Xenopus tropicalis: one gene and its partners. The protein of the gene in region 1 interacts with the protein of each later gene in a biochemical or structural test. Links are inferred from orthologs where the notes say so. Each region holds a gene or a part of one and is shown in the gene's direction. Other genes may lie near its edges. The genes, in order: tnks, rnf146 and axin1.

What was found.
Region 2: the proteins of tnks (region 1) and rnf146 form a complex in vitro, tested with the Homo sapiens proteins (3 studies listed by BioGRID and IntAct, with this or other methods). The link is inferred for Xenopus tropicalis from reciprocal best matches to the Homo sapiens genes TNKS and RNF146.
Region 3: the proteins of tnks (region 1) and axin1 form a complex in vitro, tested with the Homo sapiens proteins (2 studies listed by BioGRID). The link is inferred for Xenopus tropicalis from reciprocal best matches to the Homo sapiens genes TNKS and AXIN1.

The regions. Positions count from the first base shown.
Region 1 is NC_030677.2:97,830,155-97,834,244, reverse strand, and holds part of tnks (poly [ADP-ribose] polymerase tankyrase-1), read left to right. Parts: intron 1-700; coding exon 701-798; intron 799-1,545; coding exon 1,546-1,620; intron 1,621-2,142; coding exon 2,143-2,248; intron 2,249-2,798; coding exon 2,799-2,985; intron 2,986-4,090.
Region 2 is NC_030681.2:67,899,795-67,904,454, forward strand, and holds the start of rnf146 (E3 ubiquitin-protein ligase rnf146), read left to right. Parts: upstream 1-1,609; 5' UTR 1,610-1,685; intron 1,686-3,356; 5' UTR 3,357-3,357; coding exon 3,358-4,308; 3' UTR 4,309-4,660. UniProt on the Homo sapiens protein: E3 ubiquitin-protein ligase that specifically binds poly-ADP-ribosylated (PARsylated) proteins and mediates their ubiquitination and subsequent degradation. May regulate many important biological processes, such as cell survival and DNA damage response.
Region 3 is NC_030685.2:15,101,515-15,106,133, reverse strand, and holds the start of axin1 (axin-1), read left to right. Parts: upstream 1-1,346; 5' UTR 1,347-1,637; intron 1,638-4,619. UniProt on the Homo sapiens protein: Component of the beta-catenin destruction complex required for regulating CTNNB1 levels through phosphorylation and ubiquitination, and modulating Wnt-signaling.

The DNA.
Region 1 (4,090 bases):
GTGTTCACAAATTTATTCTCAAGGCAGGTGGTTTATTGGATGAGTGCATTTAATGGGAACATTTCATCCGTGCAGGCATAAAGCCAGTTTATAGCATTAGGAAAAATTTCTTATACTCAAAGCATCAACGCTGTGGGGTATCAGAAAAAATGTTGCCAATCGCTTCCACTAATTCTTGGTGTTGTCATTATAGGGTAAAGTTGGCAATTTTTGGTTGTAATCAATTGAATTGCCATACTTTTGAACCGTGGCTGGACATGTTTGCTGACTGGTACAACCTTCCATTTTTGCGTAGTGAAAGAACACATGATACTTAGCAACATTAATGATACATTTCTTTAAAATGTTCCGTTTCACGTTTTTTTTTATAAATGTAACCGAGATTGCATTTTTCTGTCCCTTTTCTGCACTGCAATTTCTGACTTTTTAAACAATGTAGCAGAAGTCAGCTCTTTTCCAGTCAGGACCGGGTATGTTAATCATCTGGCTTCAGTTACATAATTTTAAGTTAGAACTACCAGTGCAGATAATCGCAAGAGAAATACAATCACTGCTTTTACTAGCTATTGCAGTACAAATAATGTTAAAGCCACTGAAAAAAGTAAATAAATATAAGCTGCTATAGATACTGCTCAAATGATCACACAGGCTATAACGTTTCATCTCTGGTTTTGTTAACCTGACCCTTTATGTGTTTCAGGGACTAACCCTTATTTGACATTTCACTGTGTAAGCCAAGGAACTGTTCTCTTGGATCTTGCATCAGATGATAAAGAATACCAGTCAGTGGAGGAAGAGGTAAAAGATAACCTTCTATTATCAGTAAAAATAAACCTCTGTGTTTTATTTGTTGCCAGTTGTAGGCTTGGGTACTATACTTCTTAGGAAAGAATCTTACTGGTTACTTTTAATGAGTTTGCATTAAGTTGTATATCCTAATGTGTACAGGACACTACCAGTCTTTGTGAAAACATTAATGTAATTTTGGCTTAAATAGTCCTTAATAAATAAATGGAATAATAATGGGTTCATCTGTAACATACTAAATTTATGTTTAAAGGGGAACATCTCCTTTTAAGTGTGTTTTTACATTCCAAAAAGAAACACACTAATCAACAGGTGAAATCTGTGTACACCCATTTAATAGATACAATTGCAAAACACCATTTTTCTTGTCTTTAGCACAAAAAGGATTTGTTTGGTCTCTGACTTTCAAACATTGTTAATGTATTAAAACTGGACCATGTACAACTACTACTACTATGCCATTTAACAAAAGGGTTAATTCCCAAAACACATTCTATAGTTTTTGTATACATTAAAGAGCAAAGACAGGTTGAACCCCATTTAGATCATAACCATAGGAAGTGCCATGTTCACCCTTGAGATGGTTTTTAAGGTATGCATACTTTTAATCATTTAATCTTTATTTGTTGAAAAGAATTGGTAAAGTTTAGGTATCAATAATCTTAAGTGAATGATTGTTCTCTCTAGAAAATAACATTTACTTGACTTTTGTTTTGTTCTGTTCCTATTAATTTAAAGATGCAAAACTCTATTCGGGAACACAGGGATGGTGGCAATGCTGGAGGAGTTTTCAATCGATATAATGTCATTAGGGTAAGGCTAAATTATGTCTTTGTACACTGTTATCTTAATATATTACTCTCCATGCTTTTTTATTGATTTCCTTAAGGAGCATATTCTCTGCACACCTTCTGTTGTATTTTACCTGAAGCTTATAAGATTATTATTTATTAGTACCTTTATACAGCGCTGACAGATTAATAAGATCTTTAGAGATTGGTCATCATTCACATCACTCCTTACCGCAGGGCAGGTTACAATTATTTGGATTGTGTGGGATGGAACCTCAGTACCTTAGGGAAAACCCATGGCGAAACCCTAGTGAGACATTATTATTTTTTTTTTTTTTATTTTAAACCCAGAAGCCCCCAATTTTGCAAGGCAACTAACTTTATTAAGTCTGTTTATATATTTGATAGATATGTGCTTGAAATATTAAATGTTTTAAATAGTGGAATATTAATGCTACAAAATAAATTTGGTTTAATGCATCAGTTTAAATGGTCCTGTTTTTTATTTTATACTTTTTAATCCTCCCCCCCCCCCCTACAACAGATTCAGAAGGTGGTGAATAAGAAACTCAGGGAGAGGTTCTGCCACAGGCAAAAAGAGGTCTCGGAGGAAAACCACAACCATCACAACGAGCGGATGCTGTTTCATGGTATGTTGCTTTGTCTTACAGAAATTCCTATAGAGAAAAAAAATGTGGAGAGGAGTATAATGCATCACCATCTGAATTGTGGAATCATTAATTAACACCCAGCATTTTGATTTTAAATGTGAAACAGTCCAGTGCAAAAAATCGAAGCCATTTGAAAAATGTTGCATAAATAAAAAAAAAACACTTTCATTTTCAAAGTCATTTTCCGAATACGTTCCATCTGAACTTTTCCTTGACTTGGAAGTCTATGGAAGTCTGAACTGATGACAAATACGTCGTTGAGGACACGTAAAATAAAATAAATGATTTCTTTGATTGCGATTGCTTTTGTTAAATGACTTGTATTGGAAATACAGCCCTTTTTGTGATGGCACAAATCATTTAACACAGCTTGACAAGTAGGCACTGAAGTTGCAAAAATTGCAGTTTTTTTTTTCTTGCTCAAAAAAAAAAGACCCTGTGCAGGATGTATTTCTGATCAGAAGATATTGGAGATATTGTGTCTAATTTGCATTTTCAAGTCATTCCTCTTTTTAAATCCCTTTTTTAGGCTCGCCCTTTATTAATGCAATTATTCACAAAGGCTTTGATGAGCGGCATGCGTACATTGGGGGTATGTTTGGAGCTGGCATATACTTTGCAGAAAACTCTTCTAAAAGCAACCAGTATGTCTATGGCATAGGTGGAGGTACCGGGTGCCCAACTCACAAAGACAGGTCATGTTACATTTGCCACAGGTATTTACTTTCTTCTAATATCAAATTGACTGTAATGGTATCTTTACCAAGTGCTATACTAGAAATAAAACAATATTTAGGTTTTACTGAACAATCCTCATTATTATTATTTTTTTTTAATGAGCAGTAACATTACTTAGTGCTATTATTATTTTCCTTCTTAATACCAATTTGTAGCACTGTGGAAAAGACTGAAATAGATGATGTACCCATATTTAGTGCCCATAGTAGTTAGTTTGGAACTCTGAGGGCTACGCAATATGGGACACTTTGTTTCTTGTGGTAAATCTGCACTATTGTGGGTGACAAAAACTCCCTAGTTTCCTTACTACTGGCAGTGATGTAAATCGCTGGTGGGAAAACATATGAATTGCGAAGTAGCTCGACATATCTGTGCATGGTAACTGCCAGCTGGAAAGCAGAAGTGACACATGTTTTCCCTCTGGTGATCCATATTGTTGGTGGGAAGGAAACTAGGGATTTTTGTAGTCCGTGGCACTGAAATTTACAGAGAGATGAAATGTGCCTTGTGCAATTGCCCTACTACCCATGGGAAAAAATTGAATTTAACTGCTCAGTGCACAATGACACATTAATCTGTTTTGATAACAAATTATATGATTTTTGCAGAATTCAACTAAAATAAATAAATAAACTATAGAGTTTTCATGTGGAGAAAAAAATACCCCTTAGAATACAAGTAGGTGGAATAATGCTTTCTAATATTGTAAAATAGGAAATGTGCATCTGGTACAAGCTGTCCCTTTGCTGAGCAAGCAAACCCTTAATGTCAGGAGCTGAATTTATTAGTACTTTATTTCAGTGTCATGACATGCACTACTTCATACAACGTCAAAAATGCTGGAACATTGTGCTCATGATTTATTGGTGGCCTTTCAAGTATTGGTTCTTAACAATGAAAATAATTTCCTCTCAGTCTGTGGGAAATAAACCATTTTCTGTGCTCTATTCTTGGCTTTTATATTAGTCAGAAAATAATAGTTAGCAGGGAAGTGCTTCTATTAAAAATGCTGTAGTGTTGTTTAGTAAATGTGTTTTACAGATCTATTATTTTTTCTTAATGTTGTTTATTGGTGAGTCACTG
Region 2 (4,660 bases), on another chromosome or scaffold:
CTCTGCAGCTCGTCCAGAGTCACCATGGGCCTCTTGGCTGCATTTCTGATCAGCGCTCTCCTTGTTCGGCCTGTGAGTTTAGGTGGACAGCCTTGTCTTGGTAGGTTTACAGTTGTGCCATACTCCTTCCATTTCTGAATGATCGTTTGAACAGTGCTCCGTGGGATGTTCAAGGCTTTGGAAATCTTTTTGTAGCCTAAGCCTGCTTTAAATTTCTCAATAACTTTATCCCTGACCTGTCTGGTGTGTTCTTTGGACTTTATGGTGTTGTTGCTCCCAATATTCTTTTAGACAACCTCTGAGGCCGTCACAGAGCAGCTGTATTTGTACTGACATTAGATTACACACAGGTGCACTCTATTTAGTCATTAGCACTCATCAGGCAATGTCTATGGGCAACTGACTGCACTCAGACCAAAGGGGGCTGAATAATTACGCACACCCCACTTTGCACTTATTTATTTGTAAAAAATGTTTGGAATCATGTATGATTTTCGTTCCACTTCTCACGTGTACACCACTTTGTATTGGTCTTTCACGTGGAATTCCAATAAAACTGATTCATGTTTGTGGCTGTAATGTGACAAAATGTGGAAATGTTCAAGGGGGCCGAATACTTTTGCAAGCCACTGTAGAACCTGTGCACTTTGGAGTTAGGACCAGAGTAAAAGATTACTTTAGGATATTTTAAGTCTTCTGAATGTCACTGTTGTCACTAAATTGTAAAAATATAAACTAAAGATTACTGTTGGCAATTCAAAAAATGGCCACAGGATCCTCTTATGTAAAAAAAAAAAAAAAGCCTAAAAACTTGTGAAAAGTCTTGCATTAGTTTACGAAAAAATAAAACCTGGAAAACTGACACCACCGTGAACAAATGAGCCTAAAACGTAAAGATTACTGCTGCTCTATTTCACCCAATGTCTTCTCCTAAATAACCAGTTTTGTCCCTAAATTGTAATTGTTGCCCTTACTTAAAAAAAAACTAAACAAAAAAAAAACAAAACATTGGGACCTTCACCTGGCCCTAGTTTAAAAAAAAAAAAAAAAAAAAGACCCTTTCATTGCTAGTCAAATTGAAGAGGCACTGATGGCAGCATGTTTGATAAGAAATTATTTTTCTTTGTTACCAGGTTCATTAAAGCAGAGCCAAAAAAAACCGTTTTAGGTAAAACAAAGACTTTGCAACACAATATCCACCTAAAAAATAAAACAGAAGCCGTGAAAAGAATAAAATCATTTGTCAACCCAGCAAATAGGGTTTGTTCACTGACACAAGTGTAAGTTCTAATAAGAAAAAACAAATACTTAGTTGTGCCTAAATATAGGCAGCATGCATAGTAGGCTACCACCACGAAATGACTCTTTCTTTCTATAACTGCGAAAACTACTAGCTGTGAAGCAAACGTTTGCAAACACGCTTCCTTGTATTACTAGCGCCTTATAATTGTGAAACAAGGAAGTAAGTTGTCACCCCTCTACGTGCCGCGTCACTGCGCTTATATACGTGTGGTAGTGACGCCACAGTCTCGCGAGATGACAATTTTGACGTCGGGATTAGCTTTCCGGCAGGAGCCAAGGAGCTGGATATTAATGGCGTTGTTGGACGATTAAACGGCAATCTGGTTCTGCGGGCTGTGTTAAAAATATCGAGAGCGTCCCGCGAGAAGCGGGACTGTTGGGCGGTATGTCAGGTTGCGCTTTTACTTCTAAATTATTTATTCGAAGTTCTCATTCCCATTGAATTTAGGCCGAGTGTATTGTGATTTCTCAGAAGCTTGCATTTCTTCACTGTAGGGTGTCTGGCACAAATACCTAAGGCCTCATAAAAAATGCATGTTTTATTGTATGTACAGCGCTTTCCAAAAGGGGTGAGCCTTTAGAGCGATCTTAAGACACTGAGCTTCTTAAATATTTCAATTAAACAAGTGAACGTATCATTTTCCCCATATAGTGCTAAAGAGAGGGGCGAAACCACAGCTGCTTTATACAGCTCAAATGCTCTCTTCTTTTTATTACTTTATAGAGTATATACTGTATTAAACCTTGACTTTTTGCAATACGGAAAATTGAACATGGGCTTCATGTCAAGAAGAAACATTCTATACTGTATTAAATTGTGTTCCAAATAATCATGTCTCATCTGCATCTAGTTAAAGGGATACTGTCATGAATTTTATGTTGTACTTTTTATTACCAAATTACACTGTTTACATAAAATATAATTCAATTCACCATTTAAAATTGTATTCTTGAACCAACAAATGTATCTTTTTTTAGTTGTAATATTGGTGTATAGGCAGCCATCTTAGTGCATTGTGCCTGATTCTGAGCTTTCAGAAAGACCCAGTGCTACACATTAGAACTGCTTTCAGATAACCTACTCCCATGTAACTGGAGGAGTCCCAAGCCGGACGTAGATTTCTTACTATTGAGTGCTATTCTGATATATACTGGCAGCTGCTATCTTGCTGCCTTCCCATTGTTCTGCTGATCGGCTGCTGGGGGGGGGGGTGATATCACTCCAGCTTGCAGCTCAGCAGTAAAGTGTGACTGAAGTTTATCAGAGCACAGGTCACATTGCTGTAGCACCCTGGGAAATGAAGAATATGGATAGAACCATGTGAAATTTCAAAATTAAATATAAAAAAATCTTTTTTTGAAAAAGTGATTTCAATGCAGGATTCTGCTGGAGAAACCCCGTTAACTGATGCGTTTTGAAAAAAACATGTTTTCTCATGACAGTATTCCTTTAACCCCCCTCACCTCTACCAAACACACACACAAATCACATTTTTTTTTTTCATTCAATTAAAATACTTTAATAAAGCTCCCCCAAAAAGGCTAACTTGAAAAGATGCTTTTTGAGTTCCCATTCATCTACTATGATCTACTGCTAGTTTAAGGAATTTAAGTTTCAGGGCACAGCAGTTACTTTGGGGTGTATTGCAGCTGTTTCTGAGAGAGATTCCATAAAATATCCTAAGTATATAAATTTCCAGTGGGTGGCTGGCTGGCTTCTGAAAAGCCCTGCTGAACTTTTTCTCCTGTTCAATAACAATAGAACTCTAACTTTATGTCTTCCAAGGGACTGTCAAAGTGGCGCAAATGGTTTAACATGGAAAAAATGGTATCAATTCCAGGAAAACATAAAATCGAGGTTCTATTTCTCATCTGGATATAGCACCTGAGAAATGGAACTGAAATAAAGATCTGTAAACAATAATAACACCTATGCTGCCAGTTTTTCTTCTGTTCATCCGTTTTTAAACTGGAACAATTCAATTGTTTATCATAGACTGGTTTTCAGTTTCTCTAATCAACCTCATAAAACCTTTTAATTTTTTTACCAACAGGATGGCTGGTTGTGGTGAAGTTAGCCACTCTGCTAACATGCTGCCCACTAATAAGAAACTGGTTGAGCCTTGTCCCAACAGTGCTCCTTCATTGTCTGTTCCTGAATGTGCTATATGCCTGCAGACCTGTGTGCATCCAGTTAGTCTACCTTGTAAACACATATTCTGCTACTTGTGTGTGAAGGGGGCTTCTTGGCTTGGAAGGCGTTGTGCTTTGTGCAGACAAGAGATTCCTGAGGACTTTCTTGATAAGCCTACATTACTGTCACCTGAGGAACTGAAATCTGCAAGTAGGGGAAATGGAGAATATGCATGGTATTATGAGGGAAGAAATGGTTGGTGGCAGTATGATGAGCGGACAAGCAGAGAGCTTGAAGATGCCTTCACAAAAGGCAAAAAGAGCACAGAGATGTTGATAGCTGGCTTCCTCTATGTAGCAGACTTGGAGAACATGGTTCAATACAGGCGTAATGAGCATGGACGGCGTAGAAAAATCAAGAGAGATATTGTAGATATACCAAAAAAAGGAGTTGCTGGGCTAAGGCTTGAATGTGATGCAGCAAATGTAAATCTAGCGCGAGAGAGCTCAGCAGATGGTGCGGACAACATGGCAGCACTTGGAGCTTCTTCAAGTCAACCTACACCTGTGTTACCAACAAGGCTGCACACATCCCTCAGTACAACTGCAAGTCATGCCCTTTCACATTCTGATGTTACTTCTTCATTGGAGAACTCCTTTGCTCAGCTTCAGATTGGCGATCCTGTGATAGGCAGGAATAATATAGGTGAAGGTGAAGAAGGACAGCCTCTAATTAACGCTAGAATGCCAGCCCCCAGTGCTTTGCTGGAAGAATCAGAGCCAAGTGACAGTAATGACCATGGAAGTCCTACATTACAACATAATTCACTTCTTGTGCCACAAAGTAATAGGCTCCCATTTGGTAATCCCTGATTGTACCCCACCTGCATAGGCACAAAGTACCAGTGTAAGGTCTAAAAGACCTGATGGACAGTGCACAGTCACAGAAGTCTAAAGCAGTCAGCCAGAGAAAGAAGAGCAATGTCATCCTTGTTATTTCCTTAGTATGTTTTAGACTTGAGCTCAGACTTAGAATATTTGTTTAAAAAAATTATTTTTACCATTAACATGAAGTATCTTGCTCTTTGGCCGAAAGACCTGTTTATATATAATTATAATTAATGGGGAAAAAGAGGCTGTGGCCTAATAGCTGTTTGCTAAATGGGAATGGCATACATTGACATTTTACTTTGTGGTGCTAAACCAAAAGGTACCCTATGTGTAA
Region 3 (4,619 bases), on another chromosome or scaffold:
TCTGCAGCTCCAACCCCGCCCAAGGAAAGTCACCCATAGGGCTCAATGGCACTCTGCAGCTCCAACCTGGCCCAAGGAAAGCCTCCCATAGGGCTCAATGGCACTCTGCAGCTCCAACCCGACCCAAGGAAAGTCTCCCATAGGGCTCAATGGCACTCTGCAGCTCCAACCTGGCCCAAGGAAAGTCTCCCATAGGGCTCAATGGCACTCTGCAGCTCCAACCTGGCCCAAGGACAGTCTCCCATAGGGCTCAATGGCACTCTGCAGCTCCAACCCGGCCCAAGGAAAGCCTCCCATAGGGCTCAATGGCACTCTGCAGCTCCAACCCGGCCCAAGGAAAGTCTCCCATAGGGCTCAATGGCACTCTGCAGCTCCAACCCGGCCCAAGGAAAGTCTCCCATAGGGCTCAATGGCACTCTGCAGCTCCAACCCGGCCCAAGGAAAGTCTCCCATAGGGCTCAATGGCACTCTGCAGCTCCAACCCGGCCCAAGGAAAGTCTCCCATAGGGCTCAATGGCACTCTGCAGCTCCAACCCGGCCCAAGGAAAGTCTCCCATAGGGCTCAATGGCACTCTTTCCTTGGGCCGGGTTGGAGCTGCAGAGTGCCATTGAGTCCTATGGGAGACTTTCCTTGGGCCGGGTTGGAGCTGCAGAGTGCCATTGAGCCCTATGGGAGACTTTCCTTGGGCCGGGTTGGAGCTGCAGAGTGCCATTGAGCCCTATGGGAGACTTTCCTTGGGCCGGGTTGGAGCTGCAGAGTGCCATTAAGCCCTATGGGAGGCTTCCAAAATCATGCACAGAAGGTTTCAAAGTTAGAAAGGTTTTCGCGCCATTTACGATCATTCGGACCGTACCACAATATTTACGTATGACCACGATACAAATTTTTCGCGTTTTTAACGCACATCATAAATTATCGGATTTAATACGAATTTTTTTCTATTGAAGTCCAGAATTCGGACTTCGATAGACGGGCCCCAAAGCGTGATTGTTACTTTAGTTGCCTCAATATTCCCACCAATAGAAGGCTGGGAGACATTACCTACATTAAAAACCACAACTCCCAGCCCCCCCCTGGCAGCCATTGGCTAGCTTTGGAATACTAGGACATACACTACAGGACCACAATTCACCCCATAACCAGAGTAGTTCTTGTGGGAGCTACAGCCCAAAAGCTTCCTCACCAACTCTTACCATCCCTCCTCAGAGAACCCTCCCACACTGGGGCCCTAGGGCCCATGGCTGCCCTACATATACTATTCCCACCTCACAGACACCCCATATTAGAGCCGGGGAGCGCATCCCTGAGGTAAAAAGCGGAGAGCTGCTTGGAGTCACATGACTGCGCGTACCAGCGGGGCGGGAAAAATCGCGAGAAGCTGCGGGGCCGCGCATGTGAGGCGCGGGCACGCCAATGCGCACTCCCGCGGGTGCCGTGCACGGTGTTTCTCTCACACACTCACTCACTGTGTATCGCACTGTCCGGGGCATGGCCGCATCCCGGCGCTCTGCGCTCTCCTGTTTCCCGAGTATCCCTGCGCGGTGGCGGCTCCAGCTGGAAGCTTGATGGGTGGCTGCGGAGCGGAGGGAGAGGGCCCGGAACGGCTGGGCACAAGAGCCGGCTCAGGGCTGCCTGGGTGAGGAGCAAGGCCACACGGCTCTCTGTCTGTCTGTGTGTGTGTGAGAGGAACGGGGGGAGGAAACTTTCCAGGAGAGGCGGACGGATCCAGTTTGTAGGCCAGGCCCCGGCTTTGCCAGTACCGCTGGGCCGCATCTTACTGGGAAGCCCCGTACCCTGGCCCGTCTATAGGCATGCATGGGAACCCTGTGGCCCTGTACGTGGCTGTGGTAATAGAGTCCATCACAGGTTGCTCTGCTGCCCTTATTCCCAACATTGGGGCTCTGAATGCTTTGCTTTTCTGCTAGAGCATGCTGGGAAATGTAGTCCCAGGGATGAACATCACCAGACACTGAATGACTACATCTCTGGGCTCAGAGGGGTTACTGGGAGTTTTAATTCAGCATCATCCACAGGGCTGTATGGGGGATATCTGTCAGCTTTACTGGGGCTTTACTACATCCTTACTATATCTGGGGGGGGGGGACTATTTTGCAGGGATCCCATCATTAATGGGGGGGAGACAACTTATCTACGTGATAAGCTGTTAGTGGGGTGATGGGAGTTGTTTCACTGGCAAATGCACTGTGGCTGCAAACGATGGAGAATCCACAGCAGTGCGGTATTAGGGTGAAGACACACGGAGCTACTAGTAGCAGCTACTTGTCACGGCTACTATTATAGACAATGCTGATCATTTACTGATAATTGTCTCTACGTGTGTTTTAGCAGAGGCAATTCTCTGTATTGTCTATGGCAGGGGATTTTCTAGAGTTTAGTAGCCATGAAAAAGTAGCTGCTACTAGTAGCTCAGTGTGTCTTCACCCTAAGGGTAAAGACACACGGAGCTACTAGTAGCAGCTACTTGTCACGGCTACAAAAATAGACAATGCTGATCATTTACTGATAATTGTCTCTACGTGTGTTTTAACAGAGGCAATTCTCAGTATTGTCAGGGTATTTTCTGGTGTTTTGCAGCCATGACAAGAAGCTGCTACTAAGTAGCTCCATGTGTCTTCACCCTTAGGGTGAAGACACAGAACTACTAGTAGCTGCCACTGCCATAGACAGTGGTTTTGAAGTTATGTGTAAATGTAATTGGTATGGAAAAACGCTGCCTGGATGTTTGTATTCTCTGCACTGCTGGCTCTGACTTCTGCATAGCGGGGTGATGGGAGTTGTTTCACTAGCAAATGCACTGTGGCTACAAACGCTGGAGAATCAGCAGCAGTGCAGTATTAGGGTGAAGACACACGGAGCTACTAGTAGCAGCTACTTGTCATGGCTACAAAAATAAACAATGCTGATCATTTACTGATAATTGTCTCTGCGTGTGTTTTAGCAGAGGCAATTCTTAGTATTGTCAGGGTGTTTTCTGGTGTTTTGCAGCCATGACAAGAAGCTGCTACTAAGTAGCTCCATGTGTCTTCACCCTTAGGTAGCTGCCACTGCCATAGACAATACTGAGAATTGTCTTCTAAAACACACATAGAGACAATTATCAGTAAATTATCAGCATTGTCTATTTTAGTTGCTGCTACTAGTAGCTCTGAGTGTCTTGACCATTAAATCGATCATGGTGGGAATTGTATTCTGTGGGTTGTCCGGCAGTTTCACCATGGGTGGGAATTGTAGTTCAGCAAGGTGTTTATTGACCATTGCTCACTGTGTTCCATCACCTACCTTGGGCTTCTCACCCTTAAGGAAACAGGGGGGCTGCTGTGGCAATACCCGCAGGGCCACAGGTTGCTCATTGCTGCTGTAGGGACTAAGCCAGTTTATGTGTGGGTTGGGGGTATGATTGGCTTTATAGTTTTCGTTACAACTGCAGTTTTATGTAAGAAATGCTAAGGTACCGTGGGAGTGTGGGGTATTGTCAGTTCATGCATTAGCACTTTCCATGGTGCCCAATATATATTGGGGGCAGAAGTTCTCCGCATTCTGTGCATGTCAGAATCTGAATGCCGTAGCCAGACGCCTTGGGGGTGTGGGGGACCCTGTTTCTTGTGTTCCTACCTGCCTACCTGATCCATCGGCACCCAGTGCTTGGTATATTACTGATATATACTGATCATTTGCAAATAATCCTGCAAGGCTGTGTGCCCACTCCTGACTTATTATATCTGCTTTTGGTCTGACCAAAGAAATCTATCCTCATTGTTGGGGGGGAAATGTCTATTTATAAAAAAAAAAAAAGTGAATATATGTGTAATGTGATGTGTGTAAAAAAGAAAATATATATGTATAGTATATATCAAATTGGAATTAGAACTCTCAGGACCAGCAACTTCTTTGTTATATAATATTTGTATTTTTGACACATTATACAGAAGTCTTATAGTTATCAAGGAGAGATAGATATTTAAAATATATTTTCGTTGTAACTGACATGTAACTGTAAGCAGTATATACATTCATAAATGTCATTGGTTTTGAAGTTATGTGTAAATGTAATTGGTATGGAAAAACGCTGCCTGGGTGTTTGTATTCTCTGCACTGCTGGCTCTGACTTCTGAATCAGTATAGCAGAAACTATCGAGAGCAGAACTAACTTGTTTCAGGAGTCGGAACCAGAGAAAAGGAATGCAGACACATGTAGCTGGCTAGAAAGAGGATTTTTACACTGTGTGTGTGGCGAGTTAGTCTATTATAGCCCCCACTGGAAACAGTAAAAGGGATTGCCGGGCAGAAGGTGATGTCGCCTAGTGGTGCTGAGGAGTAGAACGTGAGCAGTTGCATGTCTTGGGATGGGTAATATAGTATTTTAGTGTCCCTGGTTATTGCTTTATGCTGTTTATCTCTGCGGCACGGTTCAAAGTACCAATAGCTTTAATGGCCCTGGCAATAGCAGGTTCATTCATTCAGATACAGCCTATCTGGGTATGCCTCGAGCAGGGGGGGAATCCCAGGGAGCCTCTAAGTCTGATACACAAGAACATTTGGCGTCACACTCACGAACACACCTTGCGAGCAACCCTTGTCCTCTGCAGTATCCAGCTGT